Nothobranchius furzeri: one gene and its partners. The protein of the gene in region 1 purifies or fractionates together with the protein of each later gene. This does not show direct contact. Links are inferred from orthologs where the notes say so. Each region holds a gene or a part of one and is shown in the gene's direction. Other genes may lie near its edges.

Region 1 (3,754 bases):
AGAACAACACTGTTTTCATACATAATGAAGGGAATATGGTGAGTTGCTGCCCTCCAGTGTCTGAAAGCTGTTACTGCACTTGTATTCTTTTTAGCCTTTTAGAAGATAATGTTTTGGCCTCCTTATCTTAACGGGGCATTTAAAAAATCTTAATCTTTTTTCTCTCCTCTTGGGAATATTAATATTAAAGGGGGGGGGGGGGGTAGACGGAGTAGAAGGAACTGAATTTATAAAGTCAAAAAAGTTCCTTAGAAATATTTACTTCAACGATTCCAAAAACCGTGTTCTGTTGCCTTGAAAGAACTGGGAATTGGCGACCTCTCCTGGCAAAAAATAGAACACTTTTGTCCAACAGCATTTAGAATAGAAGGAAAGATGGGGAGGGGCTGCACAGGGTGAGTGCGCGTGTGTGTGCAAGATTGCTTGTCCTGTGTGTCTCTGTGTTGCCCTCGGTTGCCCTGCGATGGACTGGCTCTCTGTCCAGGGTGCACCCCCCGATTGCCCATTGACCGCTGGAGACAGCACCCCCCCCCCCCCCACACACACACACACACACACGCGCGCGCGGACAAGCGGGTTCAGAAAATGGATGTACGTGAAGATGGGGAGTTGCTGCCCTCCAGTGTATGAAAGCTGTAACTGCGCTTGTGTTCTTTGCCTTTTAGAAGAGAATATTTTAGCCTCCTTGGTTTGATGGAGCCTTAAAAAAACTTAATCCTTTTTTTTGTTCTCTTGGAAATTGTAGTATTGAAGAAGAGACCGAGGAGTAGAAGGAGAATAAGGAACTGGATTTCTAAAGTTGAAAGAGTTCCTTAATTGAAACACTTCCTCTGAAGTTCTTTTTGGTTCCTTGCAAGAACGGGAACTTTGCGCCCTCTGCTGGCAAATAAACATAGCTCCCTTGTTTTAAATTAAATAAATGGAACCTTAAAAAGGCCAGATAATATAAAATTAAGATATTTAGGTACTAAATTTTACCAGAACAAATGTGTGGTTTGTAATAAAACATGCCAGATATAAAACTATTAGTTATTAGTTCAAATAAATACCCAACTACAGCTAATTAACTCACACAGACGTAGATAGACACTGATTTATAAAAAAGGTCCATATTTTGTTTCAAACAGAATGAAAACTACTGTATTAGGATTTCACAATTAATGCATAAAATATTCAAAGAAAATAAAAAGAAATGCAATTAGTTACAGAACAAAAGAGTAAATGTTTGACCACAATAGCTGATTTAATTTGATAAACTTGTTTATTCGGTAAAATGAAAAAGTAAATCAAACAATTTGCAATATGTTATACTTGTATAACTTTTAAACTGCCCCACGTAAAACTATTCACATTCCTAAACATTAAAAAAAATCTGAAAACCAAACGAACTCGTCATTGTTTGGCTCGGTTCAATTATTAAGTCACAATAACATCCTGCGTGGGCGGGACTTTTTTTCCAATGCTGCGATCTACTACACCGCCCTTTTCGGACACCCCGGGAATCGAAACATCTTTTGTAGCTTACCCTTTAGCATTAGCGGAATAAGCTAGTTTTACATCTGCGTCCGAGATGATGGAGATCAGCGAGCGGTGGGTGGCTTTCCCGTTAATTAGAACATGTTTCATAGGTTACGAATGTTTTTGATGCAATTCTCTATTGTGCAATGAACATATTTGTTTCAGCAGCCTGCACCTCTCATTCAAATCAGAATTGTTCTTTTCCCATGCTAAGCTAACCGGTTAGCATGCGTCTCAACAAGGGTTTGTTGTTGCTGCACAAATCTAACGTGTAAAACGAAGACATTAGGGCTTTACATCACTCTCCGACAACAAATGAGCAACATTTTTATTATTTACTCAAGTTCAGCTCATAAGTTCATCTTTTTTGCAACAACTAAGTGGGAAAGTTGTGTTTACTCCTGATGTCCCTAGTGATCTACTATCTTATACATGTGTATTATTCAGATAAACTGGTATGCATCTGGAATTTCTTTTATGGATTCACTGCATCTTTAAAAAATCAGATTAACTTGAGTGTATTTTATCCTGTTTTTACCATAAAGGATGATGACCCGTATGCTAGACACGTCTATAACAGTAATGCGTTGTTATTTAGGGAGTGTGACTATTAGGTATTATTAATGTCTTTCACACAGAGTGAGGTTTAAAACTTGATCAAAATCACAAAAATGCTAATATATATATATATATATATATATATATATATATATATATATATATATATATAAAGAATATAACTCTTTTCGTTAAACTTAATTAATCACTACCAAGCTGTAAATAAATGTTATCATGCTTCATTCTGGCCATCTGTGGGAGTTTAAGCTGATGGTTGTAAAGCAGACGGTTGAGTTTGTTTTTAAAAATGTAGCGCTGTTTAAATGTGTTTCTCTGCATTCCCTCCTCAGAATGGAGGTGGACGGCTGGGACTCGAGTCTGGAGGACGATTTGGGTGTTTCCTTGGATGATCTGAAGAAGCTGGTTGAAGAAGCTGTGGAACAGAGTGAGATGGTGCAGAAGAAAAAAGCTCAGTTGAAAGAACTGAAGCAGTGGGTGGAACAGAAAGAGGAAGAGGAGGCAAAGACGGAGATGCTTCTCAAAGACACAAACCAGTGAGGTGGAATGGTTGTCTGTTTTATTAGTGCTTATCTATAACGAGCTCATCTTCTTGTCTCCTTTTTTTAGATCTTTAAAGAGGTGTGAGAAACTGGTAAAGGAGGCTTATCAGCTGAACGGTCTTGTCTACCGAGAGAGCAGCTCTGAGGATGAAGGGGGTGGAGATGGACTGTGCTCTGAAGTCATTGAGATAGATGATGATGACGATGACGATGTCATTGCAGTTGGATGTTGTAAGTTGTGCTGTTTTGTAAAAAGATATGAAAACACTGAGACTGTTGTTCATCTCTTTTTCTTCTGTTCTGCACCATCAGTGGTTCCTCCAACGAAATCTCCAGGCAAAGACTCAGTGGTGAGAGCAACAAAAACAGTGTTTCTGAAAATATATTCATATCTAATTACTATGTAATTACTACAGTGTTGTTTTTGTTAATGAGCATCAGGGACAAAAAGTGCTGTTGACACATAACAGGCAGCTTTAAAGGTGTGGAGAACTGAGAAATATTGTTTAACTCATTCGCTGCCAGCGTTTCTCACCGTTTTTACTGTTTTTTTTTAAGAGTGACAGAACGTTGCATGCTAGGATGATGTCGACGCCGAAACAACCAAAACAAAATGGAGACTCACCTTTTACATCAGGAAGAATCCGCGCGTTTCGAGCGTTATCCGTTCTTTCATAATCCGTTGTTGAAGTGTGATCGGCAGAAGCTTTTCCGGTTCGCGCCTCACTTTTTTTTACAGCAACGGCCCAAAACGATCTCCTAACACATGACGTTCTGCTTCCTGATCACGTGACCTGTGACGTACGCGGATGAAGATCGGCTGTTTGTTCTCACCGTGCGGGGGCTCGTCCGACACCCACACAGTAACAAAATGCAAATGACGACTTTAGTCCTCAATGGCAGTGAATGAGTTAATGATTATAATGGGTCATAGAAGAGCACGCTGGCATCGTCCAGAGGACATCAGGTGCTCCGACAGCCCATGGGACATCAAATGTAAAGGATAAAGTATACTTTATCCTCTAGGTTATAATGGGTCACTCAGAGTTCTTCATGCCGTCCGAACATGAAAACAGTCTCCTACACTTATCTCCTGCTTTAGTCTCTGATAGAAAATA
Region 2 (3,754 bases), on another chromosome or scaffold:
GACCCCCTTCAAACGTTTCACGCATGCGCCACAACTGACGGCTTTGTAGTTTTTTAACGTCAGTACTTAACGCATTTGCCCTTCTGAAAAACTACATATCCCTGCAAAGGCTTGAGCGATAACGGAAAACGCGTGACAACATGATAAACGACGTCCATCTATGACCGATTGGTACGACTCAGTTCAAATGTATCCCGCCCACTTCCTAGTGTGTGAATTATGGTTGCAAATTTTATATAATTAAAACGCTTGTATGCAACGCTTGTATGCAGTATTTGACATAAGACAACTTTCTCACTGACACAAACATGCTAATGTTTGCGGTGTACTTAAAAATAAAAAAAGTATGTTAAAATGAAAATGAGCTTATTCAATTGAGAATGGTCAACATGTGGATTTGGCGCCATCTTGAGTCAGGTTCACAATAACGAATCATTAAAATCTAGTCAACACGTTTCATATGAAATTATTATCAATCAAAATTTGAGGATAACATAAACTGAAATATCCTTGGTTTGAAATTCAATGTGCTTAAGTTTATATATATATATATATATATATATACACGCCCTCTTTTAACAGAACAGTTTTCATGATTGGGTTCTCTTCAGGGCCAACACAAGGCAGATGACTTCTAAAGTTTTATCTGCTTGTTTTTGTCCACATTTATTGAATTTTAAAATCCCTGACATGATTTAAACTTTTTTCCATTTGCTTTGTTGTGTTTATTGTTGCTTTTTGTTGGTATTATTTGTGGTATGTGCTTTTTTGTTTTTGAAGTTGTATTAAATAAAGATTGTAAAAAAAAAAAGTCAATCCTATCACCCAATCACTGATCCTGAAACATCAACTGGAAGGAGTGTCTTTAGAAATGAATCTGCTACGTTTCGTTTCGTGGTACAGAGTGTCCCATTACCGGGTGGATAGTATGCGCTTAAAGTGCAATTTATTAAATAGATCACTTGTTTCTAAAACGTTACAGGCTTTATTATTGAGGAAAATATATAAATCATAAAGTATTTTCAACCTTTCTTTCTCTAAAGTTCAAAAAGCTTCACATAACGTGAAGGTTGACACAAACGTGCAGACCCGTTGTTCAAATCGAGCATACTCTGCAGAACCAGAGGAACGTTTTAGACCAATCAGCGAAGGTTATTGATGGAAGCAGCCGGCTCCCGCCAATTCCGACTCTGGAGCGCGAGGCAGACGTCGGGGTAGACCAAGGGACCACTTCGGAGGCACGGAAAGAGTTTTAGCTATGTTTTATCTGTTATAAAATGAGATTGCAGGCCATTTAAATAAGGACACAATAGTTTTGTAATATTAAAAGGCACTGGTTTGTGTTAACATTATATCTAGCGGTGTGTTAAAGTTGTTTTTGTCGTTAACACCGTGATCGTGAAAAGCCCCGGGTTAGTAGTTGGGATGTTGGCAGCCGAAAACGCATCTGTGGACGGACATTTGTCAGCATCGACTCCCCGCAGAAGAGGTAAAAAATCATCATGGCAGTGTACCGACATTATGATCGATTACTCGAAGTTTTAGTAATGTCATAGTGGAAGAACTGCTGTGCTATTTTGTTTGTATGGAGTATAAGTAAATTGCATCAACGATTAAATATATATATGTTGTACAATTTCAAATTTGTCAACGCTAACCTTTTCACAGCAGAGCTTTCACCGATCTTCTGTACTGAATTATGTTTTTGCACCAAATGCCAATTTATAAACGTTACAGCACAACTTCTGCGTAAAGCTAGCGGTCTCACAGAATGGATGTTATTATTTGACCAAACACCAGTTGTGGGAACTTTGTCGCATTTGCCATAGACTGGTTACACATCGACCAAGTCTTGCTATGCTACAATGACAAATGCTTTGGTAGCTCACGGATTGTCCTTCAAAGTTGCTGGCTAGTTTGATTAGACACAGCTAGGTATGTAGCATGCATCAGGGTCTCAAAGCTAACACCTAACATGAAAGCTACTTTTATATTGGAGCTGTCAAAGCTCCTCTAGTCCTCGGACTGTCACACACACGCCAGTGGTTTTGCGTTTGCCATCATTCTGTCACATTGCAGCCGTTTTTCTTATTTCCTACGTTTTCTGTCGTCCGTAGAAGGCAACCAAATCTCTGCCTGACAGACCGGAGGTGTTGGCCCTGTAGACTCGGGCCTGCAGTACCGGTTGACACAGTAGTTGGCGGGAGAGCGAGCCGAGCTGCACCAGCAGGGATACTTTACTGTTAGCACAGCGACGGCACAGAGAACCAGGGCTGCACAGCTGCACCCTTCAGTTTAGCTTTGCTTATGGTAGTAATGCCAAAACTACACAAACATATTGTTCATCCATGATTAATCCATTACTATATTTTTACAAGGATGTTAACGAATAGATTCACAGGTATTGTAATTGTGTTTAGTTTGATGAGTTTTACTGAAGTCTGATCAGTTTTGTGGTATTTTTAAAATGAAAAGCTTGAATCCTTTTAGCTTTTACAGTTGAGACTTGGCGCCTTTAGCCTAATAAGTCATCATCTTTAATAAGCTGAAATGTATTTCAACTTTGCATATAATCGTATTTTAAAAAATTGTTTTTGCTCTTTTCAGGAATGGATTGTAAGTCAAGTAATAATGCCAGCAAGAAACTAATTCAAGGTAAATATGTATTATTTACATAAGATCAAACACTGAAGAAAAAATAAAACACCCACGTTCATAAAAATGATGCACATATATAAACTACACTATTTTATTTAGTTTTAAATCTATTAGTCAAGAATAAAACAGTTTGGGGTCAATTATGCAATCTTTGACAGTAACCTAGAGATTGTGACGGGTGATAGGAAACGTATGGATGAGACTGACCAAGTAGGCTGCATGGTGGCGCAGTTGTTAGCACCGTTGCCTCGCAGCACGAAGGTCGCAGGTTCGAAACTCGGCTGTGGCCTTTCTGCATGGAGTTGCATGTTCTCCCCATGCATGCGTGGGTTTCCTCCGGGTACTCCGGTTTCCCCCACAGATCACAGCATGCCCTATAGGTTATAAATTGTAAGTCGCTTTGGATAAAAGCGTCTGCTAAATAAATAAACATAAACGCGAATAAACATAAACAAGTATGGATATGTCTGAAAACATAACGGTGAGTTGTGATTAGGGGTAAACCGATACTATCAGGCCCATATTCACCTTATACATTGGCATCGGCTGATATATCTCTTTAGTAAATCCAATTTAAAGTTGGCACATCTGTATATTTATGTTCCTGAATCTTTGTTTTATAAACTTTGGTTAAATGTTTTATTTTAATACTGAGGAGTACACAAAACAAATATTCCACAGTTAGTTCAACTCAGTGTTCAAAAACTGATTCAGGTTCAGAAATATTACTCACATCTGCCGTTGTTATTTGTGTCATTTTGATCATGTGAAAAATCTCAAGTCAGCCATGAAAATTAGCCGAAAAGAATCAGCAGCACTTATCGGCTGACCCTGACCTCTGCCTATCGACATTGGCGTTAGAAAAACCCATATCGGTTATCTCTAGTTTTGATGGTGAACATATAATCTTTAAGTGGCTACATAAATTAATTATTAGCTGTTAATAATTGGACAAAGTGTTTCTACATTAATAAAAGTTTGAAGAGCAACCGACTCACACACCAGATAAAGCGCCTGTCAGGTTTTATTAATAATGTGACATTAAGTGCTCAAAAATGTTACATGTTATTAATAATAAATGAATAATTTGTTTTTT
Region 3 (3,754 bases), on another chromosome or scaffold:
TTTTTGGTGATTGGCCTTGTCTTGTCTGAAGGTCTGTCTGCCTAATGCTGCAGACCTTGTCTGGTGCACGTGTGTGAGAAGGAAAAGGCAACAGTCGAGTGAGAGAACACAAACGCTCCCTCCTGATTCCATGGATCATGCGTGAATCTGTTTGAAGAACAGTCATAACACTAAACTACATCAGGTTAAATGGTTTACACAACTCAACGCACAGGAGCAAAGTTCTCAAGCCTATGTGAAAACATCACCACTGTTTGCCCTCTACTGGCCACATGTGGAACTACAGGTTCTTTATGAAGAAATGAGTCAACAAAATGGCTGACCCGTGCATCTGTGAGGAAAGAAAATAACACGCACCTGCTGCACATAAAAAAGATGTATCTGAACTTTACAAAGAAGTAATTGAAAACTTGTACTTGTGTTAAGGTTTTATTGTGAAAATTAATCAAATCTTAATGGGTGACAATTATCTGCTTACTTGGCTAAAAAAATAAACGAGAGCTGTGACAGTTTCACACATTTTCTGGCTTAGTATTAGCTTTATACATTAATCTGTCAGTGTTCTCATGTTGTGTGAGGCATCTTAAAGAAAAAAAAACAGAAAACAGAGCTCAGTTTCTCAAATGTCTCAAATACTGTACACAGAACAGCTGGACCAGCAGCACATCCTCACCATTGTGTGTGATGCCTTTAAACTTTAGTGTGAGGTGTAGTTTTTAGTTTAAAGAAAATTTTTGAAGCAGCTGCTCAGACAGGCTCCTCCTCCTTACAGCCCCTCCCCCTAAAGCCCGGGTTTTTGTCTGTCAGGAACAAACCATTCACCCCTCCCTCTCTATGCTAATGTGCAGAGCTGCTGCTGCCTGTCTGCACATGCAGAAGTCGGCTGTGGCTTTTTCTGCCATTCTGCTGCTAGGTTCCTCTGAGAGCCCTTGGCATAAGACCTGCCAGACCCTCCTTAAAAGCCTACCAGTCACCTCCAGGAGCAGATCATACGTACCCTGCCAGCTTTAGGTACCGGCTTCAGTGCCCACACCGACCAGGAGAGAAGCTAAAGAACGAACCGCGGGAGAAGTAAGACTCAGGTCGCGACAGTTAACCGACGTGAGCGACTTCGTAGCGTCTGCTGACTACCCCCGCCGCCGAAGACCGCTGACGTCACGCTACGACCAAGAGGTTTTTTTTCCCTCTTTTGTGCGTTTGCGCGAAAAAAGGTGGAGCTTAAATTTCAAGCTGAACCAACGGTCGGAGTGGACAACACCACAAAAGTCCGAGGCGGTGAAGAGCTCCTGGTCCAGAAGAAGACGATTTAGAAGCGCTCCTGGTGTTCCCTTCCACTTGTGGAAACCGGTGAGCAGCAGCTTCGCTCACACCACATCCGTACCTCCACACGCAACTGTGGGATTCCAGAAGACCGTAAGTGAACGGGATAGCGTGCTACGGAAGATCAAAGAAAAGCCGCTTGACAGAACGAATAGTCGGTGAGTGTAGATACTGCATGCTAGCTAACCAATGCTAATGCTTAGTTAATAAAAGCTGATATGTTTTGCCTCAAAGTAAAATAACCAGCCAATAATAGATTACACTTTCTTTTCGTCTTACGTTTTTCAAGCAGATTGGTCCTTTTTCAGGTGTTTTTCAAGTTTTGAGTACAGCGGCATTCGTTAGCTAATAGTTGGCTTGTGATTAATACACAAACATTTATTTATATTTCTCTTTAAGTTAGAGAATTAAGTTTTAAGAGTAATGCCATTTATGAATTGGACAGTGGAAAATGTAATTTTAATAATTTAAATGTTAGCTATACTGTATTCCTTTGTTGGTGCGTTACTGCAACTTTTTCAGAAATTAAAATGTTACGATCATGAAGAATTAAGAACATTTTTCCCGTAGCATGGGGAATTAAATTTACTATGAATAAGGCATTTTTTTATTTATTTGATAGCAATTGTGGGTGGAGCCTTTTCTGTCAGGTAGTCAGGACAGACTTGTATCTGATTGGCTAGTTCTTTTTGGCTTCACTTGAGCCAACTTGTTTTTGACATTAGAGGCAATTACAGTACTCCACAGCTTGTTTTCCATCTTGTATGTTAGCTTAATAATTACGATTTCTGACCTTTTATGAGAGAGGCTTAAAGTTTGTGATGTGGCGCAAAATTTTATGGAAGGATTTGTTGAAGTTTTCACACAATTTTATCCTGTTACAAGATGGGTTAAGGCGAGAAAACAGTTTTATAACCCAGATTACAGTTCCCTATTTTTCTTCTCTCCACAGAGCATGTTTTGAGCTAATTTTCAAGTGTATTGCTTAGTTAAAATACTGCACCATAAAATAGGCATACGTGAACATGTAAAACAAATTGGTAAATTTCCCTCAACCAGGTGATCAATTTCAAATCAATTTCCCTCTGGGATTAATAAAGTATTATTGAATTGAATTGGTGTTGCTCTTTTTTATATAGATTACAAGTTACACATATTAAATTCTACTACAAAAAAACTAGTGTCTTGGATGTATATGGGCCTCAGTTAAACAGCAAGCCTAACCTAATGACCTAGTCGTTATAAACCCAGCCCTAACAAGCCAGTTTAGCGATTGTGTAATGTTGGTGCTAAAACAAGCAGCAGACCTATCTAGCACATTGCAGAGGCAAAAGTTTGGGGGAGGGGCACATGGAAGGGCAGCCCTTGTGTTAGTTATTCTAGTGTAAAAGTGGTGATGACAAAGGAAAGGGGTAAAATGAAAAGGTTATGGAGGAAATGAATTCCCCTGGTCACTTTCCAGTCCATTTGTAAAAGCTTGTATGAACAGCTTGCACTAACATTCCTTACAATGTGTAAACTCCCCTCTTCCTCTGAAGTGGTACGGCCCAGTAATTTTCCATGAACAACACTGTGCTATAAAATGGGAGTGGCTTAATGTCAGTGTTAAAATTAGTGTTAGGTAGCCCCCCCCCCCCCCCCCCCCCGGTTGGTTTAGAAAAGGCATTGTCTTTAAACTGGTGACTTTAAACTGTCTGCTTCTTTCTGACACATCACATACATTAGTTAGCCATAATAAAGTAAATAAGAAATGAGTCCATTTCAACTTTAAAATTGAAATCCTCCATTGTAGCTTGTAAATATCATTTACAAACACACACCACAGTTTCAGATGTTCAACTTTTTGAGAAATGGTACAGCCCTGTTTCTTGTTTCACCTCCCCCACATCTGAGCTTCAGTGCGCACATGGTGCATTTGTAATTCAATACATAGACTGTTTCCCCATGCAGTTAAAGAAGCAGCATTTAAGGGAGCTACCTTTCACACCTTTTTCATTTGTATTTCCCGTGGAATTATTTAATGTCGATTGTTTATCCTAACTTTGCAGTAATTAAACAAATTCTTTTGCATAATGAGATGACCTTAAATGGTTAAAGTCTACAATTACTATAGTAATTATAATGTAATTTGTTTTAAGTTAAAGACTAAAAAAGTTAAAGGGACTGATGTAGTCAAACAAAATAGTGCCGGACAGGAGTAGGACTTGGGGAAACCCAAAAACAGCCCTTTCTCTGTTTGCCAACGCACAGTAACATGGTGCCTTGTGGAAGCTTCACATCAATGACACGCATACGTACATATACACAAACACGCTTGTGCACATATACACAAACACACTTGTCTGCCTAACATATTTTTGCAAAAGTGTAACTGGTAGATTCATTTGTGATGTAGAGGCATGTTAAAAGGCCTCCTAATGCTGTTTATGAAGGG

The links.
Region 2: the proteins of setdb1b (region 1) and chaf1a purify together in Homo sapiens (affinity purification with western blotting; 3 studies listed by BioGRID and IntAct, with this or other methods). This does not show direct contact. The link is inferred for Nothobranchius furzeri from reciprocal best matches to the Homo sapiens genes SETDB1 and CHAF1A.
Region 3: the proteins of setdb1b (region 1) and atf7ip purify together in Homo sapiens (affinity purification with mass spectrometry; 6 studies listed by BioGRID and IntAct, counting the BioPlex papers as one, with this or other methods). This does not show direct contact. The link is inferred for Nothobranchius furzeri from reciprocal best matches to the Homo sapiens genes SETDB1 and ATF7IP.

What each region holds. Positions count from the first base shown.
Region 1 is NC_091745.1:76,219,333-76,223,086, forward strand, and holds the start of setdb1b (histone-lysine N-methyltransferase SETDB1-B), read left to right. Parts: upstream 1-1,469; 5' UTR 1,470-1,570; coding exon 1,571-1,590; intron 1,591-2,426; coding exon 2,427-2,630; intron 2,631-2,703; coding exon 2,704-2,867; intron 2,868-2,948; coding exon 2,949-2,986; intron 2,987-3,754. UniProt on the Homo sapiens protein: Histone methyltransferase that specifically trimethylates 'Lys-9' of histone H3. H3 'Lys-9' trimethylation represents a specific tag for epigenetic transcriptional repression by recruiting HP1 (CBX1, CBX3 and/or CBX5) proteins to methylated histones.
Region 2 is NC_091748.1:48,299,183-48,302,936, reverse strand, and holds the start of chaf1a (chromatin assembly factor 1 subunit A), read left to right. Parts: upstream 1-1,215; 5' UTR 1,216-1,425; coding exon 1,426-1,489; intron 1,490-2,607; coding exon 2,608-2,655; intron 2,656-3,754. Other genes in the region: scamp4 (secretory carrier-associated membrane protein 4), read right to left, coding at 1-25. UniProt on the Homo sapiens protein: Acts as a component of the histone chaperone complex chromatin assembly factor 1 (CAF-1), which assembles histone octamers onto DNA during replication and repair.
Region 3 is NC_091747.1:75,425,355-75,429,108, forward strand, and holds the start of atf7ip (activating transcription factor 7-interacting protein 1), read left to right. Parts: upstream 1-1,272; 5' UTR 1,273-1,478; intron 1,479-3,754. UniProt on the Homo sapiens protein: Recruiter that couples transcriptional factors to general transcription apparatus and thereby modulates transcription regulation and chromatin formation. Can both act as an activator or a repressor depending on the context.